2 linked regions of the Astyanax mexicanus genome follow. The main gene of each other region encodes a partner of the protein of the gene in region 2 in a complex. Links are inferred from orthologs where the notes say so. Each region holds a gene or a part of one and is shown on either strand. Other genes may lie near its edges.

Region 1 (8,922 bases), on a different chromosome or scaffold from region 2:
AGTCATGGGACAGCAGTATTATACATTCTTCAATCCACAGTGTCAAGTGTGAGCAATTATTCACACAGAAAAGAGACATGAATGATGGCTGATTTTAATAGTGTAATGCCTGTAATGGCTTCAATAATAACATATTGTAATCTGATATTACATTTTTGTCCTACTTGTGCAATAAAGCTTTTAAGAAAATGCCTGAAAATAACTCAAAAACTCAAAAATACTTAAACATTGAGCATTTAAGGTCCGTTTATAGTGTTTATTGAACTATTTAAAACACATTTATTTTTGTAATAAAAGCTGTGTTAAAAGCTTTTTTAAGGTCTATTGTTTGCATTCTTCGGCTCTTTGTCTGCTAATAAAGTTGGATTTCTTCAAATATTGTGTAATTTTGTGGGACAAAGTAAATCCAATAGTAATCAAAGCCTTATTTAATTTAAAGCCTTAGTGTTTTATATTATATATACTCCTAACAGCAGACAAAGTCACAAACCTTTGGTCACACCACCCTGCACTAATAGAAGACTAATATTACCCCCCATAGTGGATAAAAGAGTGAGGTGGTAATGATTGTGATGGGTAAATATATGGTTAAAATTTTAACAAAGTCATTTGAGTGGGTCAAGCTTGAAACACTTCTTCATTCTAGTGATTCACTCACTACAGACCTCATCCTGTATAACTATCTAACAATATACTCAAAAATGGCATACATCAATGTCTGACTTAATTAAAAACATTAAGGACTGACTAGAAAGCATATATAAAAACATACACATTTATAAACTATGGATATTCAATGTGTTTGTCCCCCTCATCACCTCTACACTTCTGCAGATCTCTACAGCTTCATTAGTGGTCAAAGTCTGACCACAGGACCACAGTCGACAGGGAATACTGACTGGTGGGTTCTTTTTCCTATAATTAAATCCCCCGATAACAAAAACAGAGCTCAGCATTTTAACAGCATTCAGATATCTCTATTTTAAGACCATTTCCGTTTCTACGGGAAGTCTGATTCTCCCAAACTGAGTAGTGATTTTAATATTTAAGCACCCTTTATATTAGAGAAGTGCTGAAATATTTAAACCACTTTGAGTGGGAATTCCCTCCAGCATTCACTCAAAACATAAAAAAATCTATACAGTAGCTTTTGCATTATAGATGAGACATTGACTTTTCACAATTTACTGCATAATCAAAATCACTAACATGTAAACAGTGTTGTGAAACGTCAGAACAGAGTCAGAACTGTTGAGAGTAGTGAATATTAATAGGCATCAATAGTGTTTAACACAGATTTTAGTAGATTCTGGGTCTGAAACCTATGCTTTAAAATCCATTCATGGTTAAGGGATACACACAGAGTGCTGGGTGGAAAAAAAACAAATACCAAAAACAAATAATGCACCATGGATTGCTGCAAAACTTGGCATGCAGTTTATGTAATGTGTTGATATGTGCAGATAAGCACATTATAACAGATTATGACTGTAAAAGTAATATAAAGCGCCTGCTTTTACTAGGATAGGGTTTCTAGCTAGGGTTTCCCCATTAATGTAAACATTTTTGCAGGATCCTACCTATTTAAATTCTTCTATCTATGTAAACGTCCATTTCCTAGAGCACTTACTTTGAGATATGGTATGAGAGGGAGCAGATCTGCCCTCAAAGCTAATACACCGAATCAAAAAAGGTGTGTCCAAACTTTTGCCTGATAGTGTACCTGTAAATACTCTTTCTTAGTAACTTATTGGTCAGTAGTATTGGCACAGAACTATCTAATGAGGATTTGTGTTGATGTTATATGCTAACGTCACATTGTGACACTGGATCACAAAAATCTCCTTTTTATATTTCTTTACATAAATAATTTAGAATTATTAAAACAAGCTGTTTCAGATTAGCTGTGAGCTCCAGAGAATTTGTTTTCCATCACTTTTGTATTGTTTTTTTGACAGCCATGTTTTTTGTGCACAGAGAACTGTGGGTAACAGAGGGATGGGAAGGATACATCAGCTGCAGCCTAAATTTTAGAATGCAGCTACTATTCGAGACATGATTGTGGGACAACAGCATTCACTGTTTTCACACTAAACTATGGTGTATGGCAATGGAAATTTGAGTATACTCAACTTTACTCAACATACCTTATACTCCAAAACTAGTGCTCGATTATAAGGAACTGGGACATATATATAACATTATAGATATAAAATTGATTTTTCCGTATTCAATGCTTAAATAAAATCAGTACGATTTAAGAACGTGGCAGATTCTTCACTATTTTGCCATCAATAACATACCTATCTAAAAGATGTTTTAAACCTCTTTAAACCACGATTCACTCAATGTAAACATCTCATTACATAGCACTTAATTACACGTTAAAAAATGTGAATATAGTTAATAAGCCATTAAGTAATTGTATATTAGATTTAAAATAATTGCATAATGACACCAAACCACCACCTCTGGCTACCATATGCTGTGTACACAGCTGACTTTGAAACTTACCTACACATATTTAGCTTGGGTTATTTACATAATATAACTCATGTACGCACTAGCACGTAGATTATAAAGACAGTCAAGCTTTAATCTCGTGATAAATCCTTAAAACAGCTCAAAAATACCACCTTAAACCTAGATAAGTGTCTATAATCTGAATAGATATACGTGTGTTCATGAAGTTGCTTGAAGCAGCTGAGCTAACTCCTTAACGCTAGCTCAGCTAGTTAGCTAGCTTAGTGTTAGGAGGCGGTTATCAGGAAAATAAAGGAATATTAACACGTTTAAACCGGTGTCATGCCTAAATTAAACATATTTAATCATTGTTAAAGCTGTGTGTGACTGAGCGGCAGTAAGAAAATGATAAATGAGGGGATTAATCGGGAGATAAACAGCGCTGAGGACGGGCTGCACCTGTGTTTGCTAAAGCGGCCCAGCCCAGTTCATCTGGGTTATTTAAACTATGCTAAGCTAAACTATGCTAAGTTAGCTTAGCCACCTATCAGGCTCTGATTTAAGCTATTAAATGTTAAATATAGTAAATAAAAAACGACACGACTCGTGAATTAATGACACGAAAAAAACACGTTTATATAAATATATAAATTTAAGCTGTCTAATTATTCAGCGCTCAGTAATAAGCGCGTTTAATAAGGCAGACCTGTCGTTAGCTGTTAGCTGTTAGCCGCTAGCGGTCAGCCTAGCTTTAAGGCAGGGTGAATACAGCCAGTGCAGCGGGATTAATTACCGCGCGGATCCGCAGATTCGCTCCCATCACCCGGGCCCGGCCTGAAGGTCCTCCCGCCGCTGAAACGATCAACCGCGGGTCTGGAGAGCCGCCGCGGACCCTGGAGAGAAACTCAGTGAGACCCAGGAGAGGAGCTCAGAGCCCGGCAGAGGCTAAAGCTAAGGCTAAACTACATTCAGTACTCTCATATACACACACACACACTCATATACACTCATTTAAATACACACACACACTCTCTGCACTGCCCTCTCCAGATCAGCACACACACAGCATGCAACTAGTGACGGAGCTCCGGGTCAGCTCCAGCCTTCCCCACCATCTCCAGCCCATTCACCTCAAACCTCAAAAACAGCCTACAGTCAGTTTTATTACAATTATATGTATTTTATTTTTTAAATAATATTTGCATGCCTTATTTCATCTAATTCTGATATATCCCTATAATAATAACACTGTATTAACCGCCGATTAAATATTACAGTGTTCCAGTAGGTTAAGTACCTGCTTGTTATTATTATACACACACACAATAAACACAAAAATACTGAAGCCAAAATAAAATTATATAACAGTGAAAAAAAACACACCAAACGTTTTATATTGCAGACGTTTTTGACCCAACATATTTCCTATTTAATTAAAAGCATAACATAATATACACAAAACACTAAAGCCAAAAGAAAAATATATTACAGTGAAAAAACACACTCTATTCTGTATTGGACACACTCAAACTCTATTGGACAATATTTCATATTAGAGACGTTTTGAGACGATGCTTGATTTATTTTTTATTTGAAACATCTGGTATATTAACACATTCAAACAAGCAAAAAAGCAGTAAATTTGAATGTTATATCGGATTTATCTTTTTTTTTTTTTTTGCTTTAGAGTTCATGTGTTATATTTAATATTACCGGGCTATTAGCATGTTTTTTTATTTTTTTAACATGTTTTTTGTATATTATTTAGAAAAAGCTTAAACTAAAATCATTAAAACCATCAAAACCACACATTTAACATTTTAAAGAAATATTTTCTTTAAAACAATTGATAAAACAAAAAGTTAAATACGTATTTTTTCAAATATTAAAATAAAACTAAACAAAGCAAATATATTTAAATGATTAGTTTTCGAAATTATTATTTTTCAGTTTTATTTTAGTTTAGTTTTAAATATTTTTATTTATATCTGTATTTTATTATTACGCGTTTTTACAGTTGAGTTGTCGCTGGTAGTTCTGCGCATGCGCGACAGCAGGCGCTGTGCTTGTGTAAAGTAGAACACACAGACAGGTCACGTGTTGTGTTGGATTAATCATTGATAAATACAAAGAGATACAAAAATTAAAACTAGAAATCTGTTTAGCCCTACATACATACAGTGTTATGCAAAAGTTTGGGCATTTTTTTGAGTATATAAATATAAAATGCCAAACAAACTAATGAACAAAATAGTTGTTTTACTTATTTACTGAATTCAACATATTGAAAAAAAAAATATTAAATGTGCCTTCACTTTTCTTCACACCACTTTTGATGTTATATATTTTTGTGCAATATGTTTAATTCAACTATTGAAAAATAATTGTGTTCAGAATGGGCAAAAGTCTGGACTACTGATACTCTCTATTCACAGTGAGTGATATAGCCTATCTGGGACCTCCAGAATGAATTGAGTGAAATTTTAGATCACACCAATATATATAATATATATATTTTTGTTGCCATCCAACTTAACAATGAATTGAGTGGTACTACACTGGCAGCTACTATTGTGTCCCATGATTTTTGGCATGTCCCATGGAAGCTAATGGATCCTGCCAGTGTATAAAAGAGTTTAAAAACAAACACATTTCTTATGAGTAAAAATAAAACACAATATTATTTTAAAGATATTTATAATAATATATCTATAACTAATTTCCAGAAATTATTAAGTGATATTTAAAGGCATGGCTCCCAACTGGTGTATATACTTGTATACAGTATATTTCACAGAGACTGAGCAGCAACACTGACTTATATTTAGCTACTGTGTATAAAAAGACACTAGGAGGAAGTTAGCAGCAGAATGATAAGGGAGTTCGCCGGAACTCTAGAAGAATAGATAGCAGGGCTGCATGAAAGCATTGTATATTTGCCATTTTGCTGCATGTCTAGCTGTGTGTCCCAATAATTTTGACCAAATAATGTATATTTAGCTCAGCTGAGAAAATAAACTTTTTATGTAATAAAAAGAAAGAGAGGAAAATGTGCTATGCTTAATAAGGAGTTAACAGTCTACCTCTATAATCTATTCTGGAATGTGCCACGGGAATTAAATATCCTTAAAGGGATCAAACCCCAATCCTCAGCCATTAGTACACGATTTAGCATAATTAAAAAAAGGCCTTTTAGTTGTAGATTGTATTGTTTTTTGTTTGTTAATTTTTATTCAATATCCAGCTCTGGAAACAATAAGAGAGCAATTAAAAATGGAGTTTCTTTGATTTTACTAAATTGAAAACCTCTGGAATATAATCAAGAGGAAGATGGATGATCACAAGCCATCAAACCACCAAACTGAACTGCTTGAATTTTTGCACCAGGAGTGATTTGCATAAAGGTATCCAAAAGCAGTGTGTAAGACTGGTGGAGGAGAACATGATGCCAAGATGCATGAAAACTGTTATTAAAACCAGGGTTATTCCACTAAATATTAAACACTTACACTTACATAGTTTGTTTCTCAATGACTGTAATTTGATTAATTCAACAAACTACCCAATATAAAGACCACTGAATACTGATTAGACATCTTTAATTATTTACTGATTGTAAGACAATGAAACATTCAATACTGAGAGGCCAGTAAACAAAACTCAAAATGCAAACATTTCAAAACAATTCCACTGCATTTTTCCATCATCTGCCGGTCTAATGTATTGCTGTAGTTAATTAAAACAACATTATCTTTATTATACTTCAGTATTACGTGTTTATTTATGTATCCTTACAGTACAAAATGCTGTTCACATTCATTTCATAATTTAAAGGCCTATTTATATTTTTATAGCTAAGTACAGTACAAATCAAAAATGCTCTTTAAAATCTCTGAACATTCAGTATCACTGTAGCACTGTGAAAAAAAAAACAATCAGTACACTGCAATAATCACCATTTTCCTCACATACTGTATAACATATGGCATTTAGTATACAGTATCTGGAATGCCACAAAATAATATCACCATATATTAGTCTCATTTATTCCCACACATAGCTTTCTTTTTTATGTACAGTAAAAGTAGGGCAAGCCGTTTGAGCCTAAGTTGACGCTAGGTGGTTGAGTTGTAACCAACTAACTGAACTCTCTCGGACTCTGGCTGCTGATGCAGAAGCAGCGTGATCAGGGATTTAAACCGGCGATCCTCGGATCATAGTGGCAGCACCTTGGCCAGCGCTGGACCACTCAGAGCTTATCAGATATTATTAACAGTAAAAACAGTTATAGTTTATATGAAACAAGAATTCTACTAGTAAAAGCTGCATTACAGAAATCTGTAATTATTTTAAAGTTTTTACTAATAAAAAAAAATTGAGTTAGGCTGAAAAGGCTTGCCCTGTAGTAAGACTTTAACAGTATATATTAAGAGAAATAAATACACTTGTTTGTGGAGTATTCCTGAGCACTGAACTCTATACAGTAGGAATAGTGTATTAGATGTAAACTGCACTATTATTAATTTAGGCTTGAGGAAATACAGGGAAATAGAGGGAAATAGAGGGAAATAGAGGCGTCCCATCAGTAAGGGGATTTCTGGAATGGTTAAAACTTTGTGCATCTAGAAAATGAGAAAGACAAAAGGCTCAAACTCACTAATAACAGAAGACAATGGAGATGAAGGGTCAGTGTAACGTTTATTAATTTAATTTTCTAACCATTTGAGGTTAAATGCAAAAATAGAAAATTGGATGTAAAAACTCAATATTTGTTTAGTGCAGTGCACAAAAATAAGTTTTTATCAATTTTTCCAATCCTCAAAATCGTAATTTCAGGAAAAATGAAAAAATGTATTTTATTTTCTGATTTTCCAATTTTTATATTTTTTGTATGTTGTGTTACAAGATACAAAAATGGACAAATCTGAAAATCGAGAGAACATTTAACTTTTCATTTTTCTTAAAATTCTGTTTGCAAAAGGCTGAAATGAAAAACTCGATAATTGAAAAATTGGATGAAAACCTTCATATTTCTTCATATCGAATAAAAAAAAATTTAAACTGCTATTTCTTGTACACTGCACTACATTAAAAAAAATGAAACATTTAACCTAAAACGGTCAGAAAATTTAATTAGAAATAACTAAACATTAGCATGTGACCATGAAGCTTCTGTTATTAATGCTGTTTTAGTCATTTAGTCATTTTTTTCCTGTTCTTTTCCCAAGTACAGGGAATTTACTCTGTTAAATAAAAAACACATGGAGCACTAGAGCACTCCTTTAACACTTTAGCTGAAAGTGCTATCAGAAATATAAACAGGCATGAGTGGAATGTCTGAAGGCTCGATCTGAACGCATGTCTTCTCTATTATTTATCTCTATTATCTCATTCTCTGTATTACAATAATCCGTATGCACATCAGTGATGATCTGTGCTGGTTAATGATCCGCGTGTGGAATGCGGGTGGGCCAGTTATAAGAAATACAATATAAAATCATAGAAAATGCTTTTACCCTTAACTCTAATGGAATGGAAATAGCAAATCACAAATCGTCGCTCTCCAATGAAAAACATGCAGCTTCTCCAAAACAGCAGCTTTACAGGAGAAGGAAAAACCTTTCTTGACTTTTTTAATGTAAGTCAATGTAAAAAAATATATATTTAAGGCTGTTCTATTGGTCAATTTATCAAGAAATTTTAAAACAGTCCCTTGTAGAAGAAAAGTGTATTTAAGTATATTTTTCAAAAGTATACTTAACATGAAATAGTACATCCTTTTTTTTTATTATTATTAAAAAAACGTACTTAAATACATGTTAAATGTACTATTTTGGAACAACTTATGGCAACTTAAGTATATTTCAATTATAATAAAGCTATATTTAAATGTAACATTAAATGTATTACCGTATTTTTCGGACTATAAGGCGCACTTAAAAACTTTTAATTTTCACAAAAATTGACAGTGCGTCTTATAATACAGTGCGCCTTTTGTATGGATTTTACTCGTCAGGTTGTAAGGAGCAGTAAACACACACTCCGTGCAGCGTTATAGAGAGTTTCAGTGCTATACAGAGTCCAGAGCCGTGCAGCTCCGAGGCTGGAGCAGCAATAGCATTAGCTAGATGCTAACCGCTAAGCTAGCTAGCTTATTCACTGAGATCAGTATTATCTAAATTTTACTCGTCAGGTTGTAAGGAGCAGTAAACACACACTCCGTGCAGCGTTATAGAGAGTTTCAGTGCTATACAGAGTCCAGAGCCGTGCAGCTCTGAGGCTGAGCAGCAATAGCATTAGCTAGATGCTAACCGCTTAGCTAGCTAGCTTTTTCACTGTTCAGAGATCAGTATTTTCTAAATTTAGCACTTTTAATACTGCTGGAGCAGTATTATTAGAGTTAGATGCTAATCGCTAAGCGTTCACCGTTCAGAGGTGAGTTATCGGCCTGTAAGTCTG
Region 2 (8,999 bases):
TTTATGAGGTAGAATCACCTGGAATTCAGGCTTTCAGTTAACAGCTGTGCTGAACTCGTCAAGAGTTAATTACTTGAATTTCTTGCCTTGCATTAATGTGTTAAAGAGCATCAGTTGTAAAGTTGTGAAGAGGTAGAGTTGGTATACAGTGAATAGCTCTATTTAGGTAATGTTCTAATCCATATTATGAGAAGCAAGAACTACTTAACTAAGTAAAGAAAAAATACTTTCTAATTTAATACTAAGAAATTAAGGTTAGTCTATCTGAAAAAAAGAATTTCAAGTATTCTCATGTGCAGTCACTGCGAAGACCATTAAAAACGTTATAATGATGAAACGGGCACTCATCAGGACCACCCCAAGAAAGCATAGAAGAGCAAGAGATTTCTCTGTTTTACAGGATAAGTTCATCAGGCTATTCACTGTATACCAACTCTACCTCTTTACAACTTTACAACTGATGCTCTCAAACACATTAAGAGGCAAACAAAAAAATCAAGTAATTAACTCTTGAAGAGTTCAGCACAGCTGTTAACTAAAAGCCATTCAAGGTGACTCTACATCATAAATGTGACTGAGAAAATGCAAAGATGAGCAAAGCTGTCATCCAAGCAAGAGATGCTACTTTGAAGAATGTAAAATATAAAACACTATAATTCCATAATGTATTTTTTCGTAGTTTGTATGACTTTAGTATTAATATACAATGCAGAACATTTTAAAACAATAAAAAAAATGAATTTAAGGTTTGTCCAAACTATTGAGTGGTACTGTATTTCTGCGTCTACAGTGCATTAGATCACTAAGCCATTTAAGTTATAATTTTAGTGTGTAAGGGGTAAGAGTCATTCAAGAACAGCTGATAGAACCACATAAACAAGAGATTACTATACTTACCTTTATTACCAACAATCTCTACAATACAGAGTTACTATATTCACTAATATCACTTACAACTTCACTGTACACAACACAAGCCTTATGTTCACCATGTCCAGAAGCTCCGCCCACTTCTCTACAATACAGAGTTACTATATTCACTAATATTACTTACAACTTCACTGTGCACAACACAAGCCTTATATTCACCATGTCCAGAAGCTCCGCCCACTTCTCTACAATACAGAGTTACTATATTCACTAATATCACATTGTTCTTTTGAACTTTGTTCACCATGTCCAGAAGCGGCATCATCTTCTCTGGGATAATGGACAATCACACAGTGGAAACATGAAATGTGGTCAGATTGATCAGTATTAGGAAGAAGAAATCAATGTCTTGAGCTTCAGATCAAAGAGGAAAAGAACTATCCTGACTGTTCTCAGTGACAAGTCCAAAAGCCAGGTACTGTCATTTTTTTTATAATATATATTTTTTTAACTAGCATCAGCTCACCAACCAATCAGCACACAGTAGCAGTAAGGCTAGCTCCACTACTGGCAAAAACCTGTTTGCTGTAGAAAAAATGAAATGTACAGGTTTATTGGCTTTGCCTATTTAGATAAATAAATAATTTTACTTTCCAAATTTAAAGGAAATGAAGGAATATCCTGGTAAGGTTGTTATATACTATTTTAAATTTGTGTTTTAGCCATTTAGCTCCATTCACTCCCACTCATTTCAGACTCACTCGCGAGCTCCCTCTAGCGGTTGACAGTAATTTTCTGATTATATCGGCGGAGATAGGGAGATGGGCAGCCTCTCCTTAAACCAGCTGTGGTTTATAGAGAGGCTGAGACTGTTCTCCAGAACAACAGCTCCATCTGGTGTTACTGTTAGATCAGATCAGAAGACCCAAAGCCTTACTAGTCTTTAAAGCCCATACTGTCCTGCTCACTGTTTTGTTCCCCATGCTTTGAAAAACCCAATTAAGGCTTATTAATCAATTACTTATTCATTGTTAATTATTAGAGCAAATAATTACAGATAATTACTTGGTTCATGTGTGCTGGAAGATGCTGGAAGCTGGAGAAGCACTAAAATATGAGTACTGTACTTCTGTAGGTGGATGGATTACAGGAAACTCATAATAATGCAGTGTACATGTAAACAAAATTGATAAAATAAATCAATCAATAAATAAAATACCTTCCACCAGTTTTGTTAGCATGTTTATTACGTATAATATACATTAAAAAAGGGAGGTAAAGTGAATAAATCACATAATCTATCAACAGATTGTCAACAGCTGGGTCATTTTTTAAAAATCCTTTGTATATTTATCATATTATGGAAGCAGGAGAAGCACTAAAATGTGAGACTTCTTCTGTAGGTGAATTGATTATAGGAATTTCTATAATAATGCAGTGTACATGTAAATAAAAATTATATAATACTTAAATAAATAAAAAAATAAAATAAAATGCCTTCCACCAGTCCTGTTACCATTTTTATCATATATAATTTTAGAATTTTATTATAGATAAGGTAAAAAGTAAAGTAAAAAATATCATAATGAGAGTGTCAACAGCTGGGTCATTTAAAAAATCCTTTGTATATTTATCATATTATGGAAGCAGGAGAAGCACTAAAATGTGAGACTTCTTCTGTAGGTGAATGGATTATAATGCAGTGTACATGTAGATAAAATTTATATAATACTTAAATAAATAAAAAAAAATAATATAATGCCTTCCACCAGTCCTGTTACCATTTTTATCATATATAATTTTAGAATTTTATTATAGATAAGGTAAAAAGTAAAGTAAAAAATATCATAATGAGAGTGTCAACAGCTGGCTCATTAAAAAAATCCTTTGTATATTTATGGAACAAAATATGGTTTAGGGCAGGGGTGTCCAAACTACGGCCCGTTTCCTTTTTTGGAGCGGCCCGCGAGGTATTTTAGAAATAGAATGAAAGTTGGCCCGCTGTTAAGCAGGTTTTTATAATGTGAGATTCAAAGTTTGAACGCTAGGTGTCAGAAACGGGCCAAAGAGTCTAAAAGCGGAGAGGGTGCGCATTTCTAGCGCAGAAAAACGGGGCAAAGAGTCTAAAAGCGGAGAGAGTGCGCATTTCTAGCGCAGGAAAACGGGGCAAAGAGTCTAAAAACGGAGAGAGTGCGCATTTCTAGCGCAGAAAAACGGGGCAAAGAGTCTAAAAGCGGAAAGAGTGCGCATTTCTAGCACAGAAAAAACGGGGCAAAGAGGCTAAAAGCTGAGAGAGTGCGCATTTCTAGCGCAGAAAAACAGGGCAAAAGAGTTTAAAAGTTGCTGTAATTAAGGAGTTTAATATTATGAGACATCATGAAATTAAACATCAATTTGAAAAATCTTAGTTTACACAACACTGTCAAAGATAAAGATAGTAAGTCAAGTAAAATGGTGCATAAAGAAATAATCAGGAAAAACGTATTATTTAAAGTGGTATATTTCATTATTTGTTTTATTACAGTGTGGCCCGTGACTTCAAATATATTTCTCCTTCTGGCCCCCAACAAAAAAAAAAGTTTGGACACCCCTGATTTAGGGTTTAGTGGCTCTTTATTGGAAACATGTGGTTTAGGGTTTACGCGCTATTCAGACAAGATTAGTTTCTCAGGGGGTCCTTGGGTAATTTTCTCTTTTATAATTTCCTCTGTGATTTTATTCCCATGGAACAACCATGTATGTGTTTTTCTCAGACGTCCACTGAGAAAATTACAGGCTTAATTACCTACTGTTCTTCACTGAACTCCGTCGTCCTCCGGTAATTTTAGTCCCATCCCGAAAAAAGCACATCTAAAATAACTATTCGTCCACTGCTAAGCACACATAGACTGTTGTATATAAGTATATGGACAGGGCGTCCCCATTTACTCTCATTACGGCGTTTTACAGCCAAACGATGGCCGAAATGGAAGCTGCCATCTTGCGTGCGCTTGCGCAGTAGAGGCAAAGTGGAGCCAGAACAGGAGCAGCAGAGGTGGGAGGCGGGGCCGTGTAACTGCCCAAACCCCGCCCACATGTCGTGGACTCCCACCACCCATATCGGGGAGGCGCACAGCCAGCGCGTCAATCACCACATCGCCACGCCTCTTTATTTATAACAAAAATCCTATAAAACTCAATACATGTAAAGAAAAACACTGGGTGTTATTAACATAGGAGGGGGCTTGCAAAATGTACAGAGCCTAACTTCCCCCCAAAAAAACTGGATGTGTAATTTTAGATAAAAAATTCCATCATCTTCCATTAAAAAAGGGGTTAAAACTTGTACCTCAGCCAGCCACCAGAGAGCGTACGAGACATAGTAGCTTCACTTTTCAACCGCTGTCCTTCTGTCCAAACTCATATACAGTCTGTGGCTGTCTATGGAATCGCATACTACTATACTGCATATTGTATACTAGCTTTAGGCTGATTTAATACGCAAGTAATATTGTAGTATGCCATTTCAAATACTAAGGCTATCTAAGCGCCGTAATTACACTGGGTGCACGTTTCCATTGAGATCCACATAAACACAACAGTGAGTGGAAATGGAGGAGCTACTGAAAGTCATGCCATGTGACCGAGAAAGCCAAAAAAACTCACTGGTCCTCCTGTTTTTTTCAATTGCAGTCAAGATGCAAAAGTTTTATCACTAAGTAGAAGTGTCAAATATTTTTCACAGACGCCCCCCCTGAAAAACTCATTCTGTCTGGATAGGGCTTAAATCAGTTTCAGCAGTGAGGAAAAGAATTTGAGGTCTAAGAGGTGAAGTGCAGTAATAAAGTAATTGATAACATGATAAAATAAAAATGCAGTTTGTCTGATTTTACTAGCAAACAAACAAACAGATTTAAAATCACCAATAACACCAAAAATCACCATCACTACCCAAACCAGCACACACACCCCTCCTCCACAGGTGAGACCGGAAGTTTGGGGGGATGATGTCACTCCACAGAGCTGTGTAAAGATGGCGCTCCGGCCCGGATCAGGGGGAGGCGGCAGGTACAGAAAACCCTTAAATTCAGCGAATTTAACTTGATAACTGTGCGTTTCAGGCGGACATGCTCTGCTAAAGAGTACGGTTATTAAAGCGCGGGCTGGGTTAGGCGTGTTGCGGGCGGAGGGGCACTTTTCCCGGGCTGTATTCTGTGTGTGCTCACGGTGTTAGCCTGTTAGCAGCTGCTGCTAACCGCTCTGTCACTTCTCCGGGTTAGCCAGCCGTGCTAACCGGCTAACGGTCGGGGCGGGTTACATACACCGCTGCGCACCGTGTGAGCTTTTACTGCAGCTAACTGACCATTAATATAACAAAACCAGCCGCCGAGCTTATTAATCATATCTCTGCTTTAGCTAGCTCTGCATTTATCATGACTAGCTTAAAACACTGGGTTCACAGCTAAAGCTAGGGTAGCTAACCGCTATACCAATAACCAGCGCTGCACCTGACCTGCCCACCGCTCTCATTCTGTGTGCAGCTTAACAATGTTCTTATTTAGAGATAATAAGTTATGTTAAGGTACAGTATCATTATTTTGTGATAACAAGTGTTACTAGCTTGTGGTTGTTTTGAGGCACTAAGTCGTTATTTTGAGACGCTAAGTGGTTGTTTTGAGGTACTAAGTCGTTATTTTGAGGCGCTAAGGGGTTATTCTGAGGTACTAAGTCGTTATTTTGAGACGCCAAGTTGTTATTTTGAGACGCTCAGTGGTTATTTTGATGTAACGTTACTAAGTCGTTATTTCGAGACGTTAAGTGGTTATTTTGGTTATTCTGAGACACTAAGTCGTTATTTTACGATGGTAAGTGGTTATTCTGAGGTACTAAGGCGTTATGTTGATGTACTAAGGGGTTATTCTGAGATACCAAGTCGTTTTTTGAGACACCAAGTTGTCATATTGAGATTCTAAATTTTTACTTTGAGGTTCAAAGTTATTACTTTAGTATCTCAAAATAAAAATATATGTATACTGTTGCAAGTCAGCCACTGAGCTCTCATCTGTGGGCGTTTGTTCATCATATTTCCGCGGTAGCTAATTTTGGGTTTATCATTATTGCCTTAAATTGACTGTGTTCTTAGCAAAAGCTAGGCTAACTAGTTAGCTAGCTTACCAGCTAGCCGTTCAATTCATCACTTCAATAACTAGCACTGCACCTGACTTGCCAGCTGTTCTCATTTATTTATTTAGCTTATGTGTTCTGTCTGCAGTTGCAATTTACCGATTAGTCGACATTGGAATTTGGAGTAAACTTTGGAGCATTTTCATAATCAACATTTCCAATTAGTCATTGCAATAGGCCTGTCACGATTATTACATTATGCACTTATCATATACAATAAAGGACATGACCTCAATAATATGTGATAACTGTCTATTGTATTTATTTGTATATTGTGTTTGTTCTTTATGTATATACAGTAGTATGAAAAAGTTTTGTTCACCACTGATCATTTTCATGCTTTTCGTTTTTTTTTTTTTTTTTAAATCATTGGTTGTACAGATTTCAATTTCAGGTAACTGTGTCATATAGCAAACAAACACAGTGATGTGGTGTGATTTTAAAGTGTGCTGTTCATGCTTGGAAACTATCAAACCTGACTGAACTGGAGATGTTTTGTAAAGAAGAATGATCCAAAATACCTTCAGCTAGAAGCTATAGAAAGTTTTTAGAGGCTGTAATTTCTGCAAAAGCAGGATCTACTAAATATTGATAGTTTTTCTGTTGGAATGCCCAATTTTATGCACCTGTGACATATTATTGCACACTGAGGACAGTATTTTAGCCAGTCATGCAATTCCAGACCAGTGCTTCAATAACTGTGACTCCATACATACACTGTGCAGTGACTGCAGTAGGTGAAGAAAAATGTATACATATCATATATTTCCTATTCAAAGAGTAATTAAAATGTTTCTTTTTAAAAGAGTATAATTGCTCTGTTATGTTATTCTATCATTGCTATGTCAGTGGCATTCAGTGGTCTTTAAATGACAATAATATCTTTCGTTTATTTCATTTATTTTCTGGGACAATATATTGTTCACAGGTGTAGTTGTGAAATCAAAATCCAGCGTGAGCTATCTTTTCAGCATGCCAAACAAAGCGTTTATTTGGAAGAATCTTCGAAGCTCATTCAGTTTAATTTAAATACTTATTTAAATACTCCCTATATATTCATATCCCTTCCAGCACCTCTTGCTAAACACACTTTTATGAAGTCTGGCCTGTGAAGAGTTATGCCCTCTCAATCCAGGCTGTCTAATCCTGTTGCCTCTAATTTGGTAATTTGTCAGTATTTGGATGCTGAGACGTTAGCACTCTGTAAGCGTACTGAATTTGGTACCGCTGTGTATATTAAGTCCTATATCTTTCAGAAAAAGGCAGTCTCATAATTTATTTACTGGCAGAGCTTAGGCCTCTGGTGAATGGCTTAAATAATGAATAGCTGGTTCCACGCACCACAGATCCAGGTAATTGTGATACTGAAGGTGAAACCGGATGATGCCCGGTGATGCCTGGAGTGCAAGCCACTAGCAGTGACAAGAATAAAAAAAGCACCTGCAGTTCAGTGAAGTTTGATGTAAACCCTGAACTTGGATTCACTGCACTTCTCTGAATATATTCAGTCTGGAAAAGTTGCATTACACGCTGTTGCTTTTGAGGGATTGGGAGGAAGGGCATTCATATAAAAGGAAAATGTGTCCATACGTGTTTGTTGGTGTCTATGTAGATACAGAAACTTTGTAGCTTGTTTTAAGGCGTGTCAGTGTGTAATTGCTATCATACACCTTACGCAGCATAAAATGCGCAAAAGGCATGTACTAATTCTCTTAATTAATCATGGATGTGTTTTGGGCGTAACATTAAATAAACCAATCAGCATGTCACTTGCCATTCCCTTTAAGAGATATTGTTATTTGAACTGCACATGGTGGGGATGCTGAGTGCTGAGGCCCATACTGCATAAAAGTCTCCAGCACTCTGCTGACTCAATAACTGCTGAGTTTCACACCTGCTCTTAGAGCTGCAAAAGGGGAACCGACTCCACATTTAGAATTTAGAATGTAATGTCATCAAGGTTACTTTAGGTGTATTACTGTGTACATGGCTAGATAAGCTATAGAAACAATACTTATCAAGCCTGTCTTGTCGCTGTTGAAACAAATGGTGCTCCATAGTACCTGAGGATAGATAATGTTCTAGAGGAGGAGCAACAGCTGGTCAGCTGGTGTTCCTGTAGCAGGTGATGCAGGCTGGACGTTGAGTCTGACAGGCTGTGACACATTGCAGGCCAAGAAGGGAAGTCAGCCTTAGCGAGTGAACCACGGCTGAATTAATCAAGTGAGACCAAACCCAGCCTGCTGGCGTTTAACCAGAGCTTGTCTCATGCCAGAAGCATCGATGGAAGCTTGCGTAAACAAGATGTGATGTTGGTGTTAAGTGAGGGATGTTTTTAGAAGCACTTCAGTGAGTGTGTTGTGGAGGTGAAAAGTAAACTGTCAATAGCGATTTTGCAGATTTCCGTTTAAAACCTGACGAATGGCCAACTCTGCTCATTTGTAATATTGCTCAAACTGTTCATTTGGGTCCAAGGTTCACTCATTCTCTGTCATCTTTTGTGGAAGTGGTGATTAATGATGTTTGTTAAGATGTATACTCATTGGGTGCCACAGAAACCACAACAGTGATACTCGTGTTAATGCAGAGTTTTGAAGAAACACCTGACTGGTGTTTTGGTGCTGAAGCAGGCCTGCTGGTGATAAATAAAGACACACACTCAATTCAACAAGGATTCTATTTAATTCTTGAAACTGGATTTGCAGTTGAACACATTTTAAGCAGTTGTAACTGTTTTGAACAATATTTGAATATTGAAATGGGCACTGTTAATGTTTATGCATAATATACTAGATTACACTGGAGCTGGGAGAATGGATCAGTGTGGTGCATGACCAAAACTGCAGTGTGGTGTTGATCGGTGCTAGTTTTCCATGTCAAATATCACAGGTTTTGATTTTGTACTCAGAGTAAATACAACGTGATGTGGCATGCAAAAGTTTGGGCATATCGGTAAAAGGCCCAAA

The links.
Region 1: synrg (region 2) and aftpha share a complex: the UniProt entries of both Homo sapiens proteins name them as parts of the aftiphilin/p200/gamma-synergin complex. The link is inferred for Astyanax mexicanus from reciprocal best matches to the Homo sapiens genes SYNRG and AFTPH.

Annotation. Positions count from the first base shown.
Region 1 is NC_064428.1:35,655,382-35,664,303, reverse strand, and holds the start of aftpha (aftiphilin a), read right to left. Parts: upstream 3,549-8,922; 5' UTR 3,257-3,548; intron 1-3,256. UniProt on the Homo sapiens protein: Component of clathrin-coated vesicles.
Region 2 is NC_064425.1:13,216,223-13,225,221, reverse strand, and holds the start of synrg (synergin gamma), read left to right. Parts: upstream 1-4,830; 5' UTR 4,831-4,882; coding exon 4,883-4,917; intron 4,918-8,999. UniProt on the Homo sapiens protein: Plays a role in endocytosis and/or membrane trafficking at the trans-Golgi network (TGN). May act by linking the adapter protein complex AP-1 to other proteins. Component of clathrin-coated vesicles.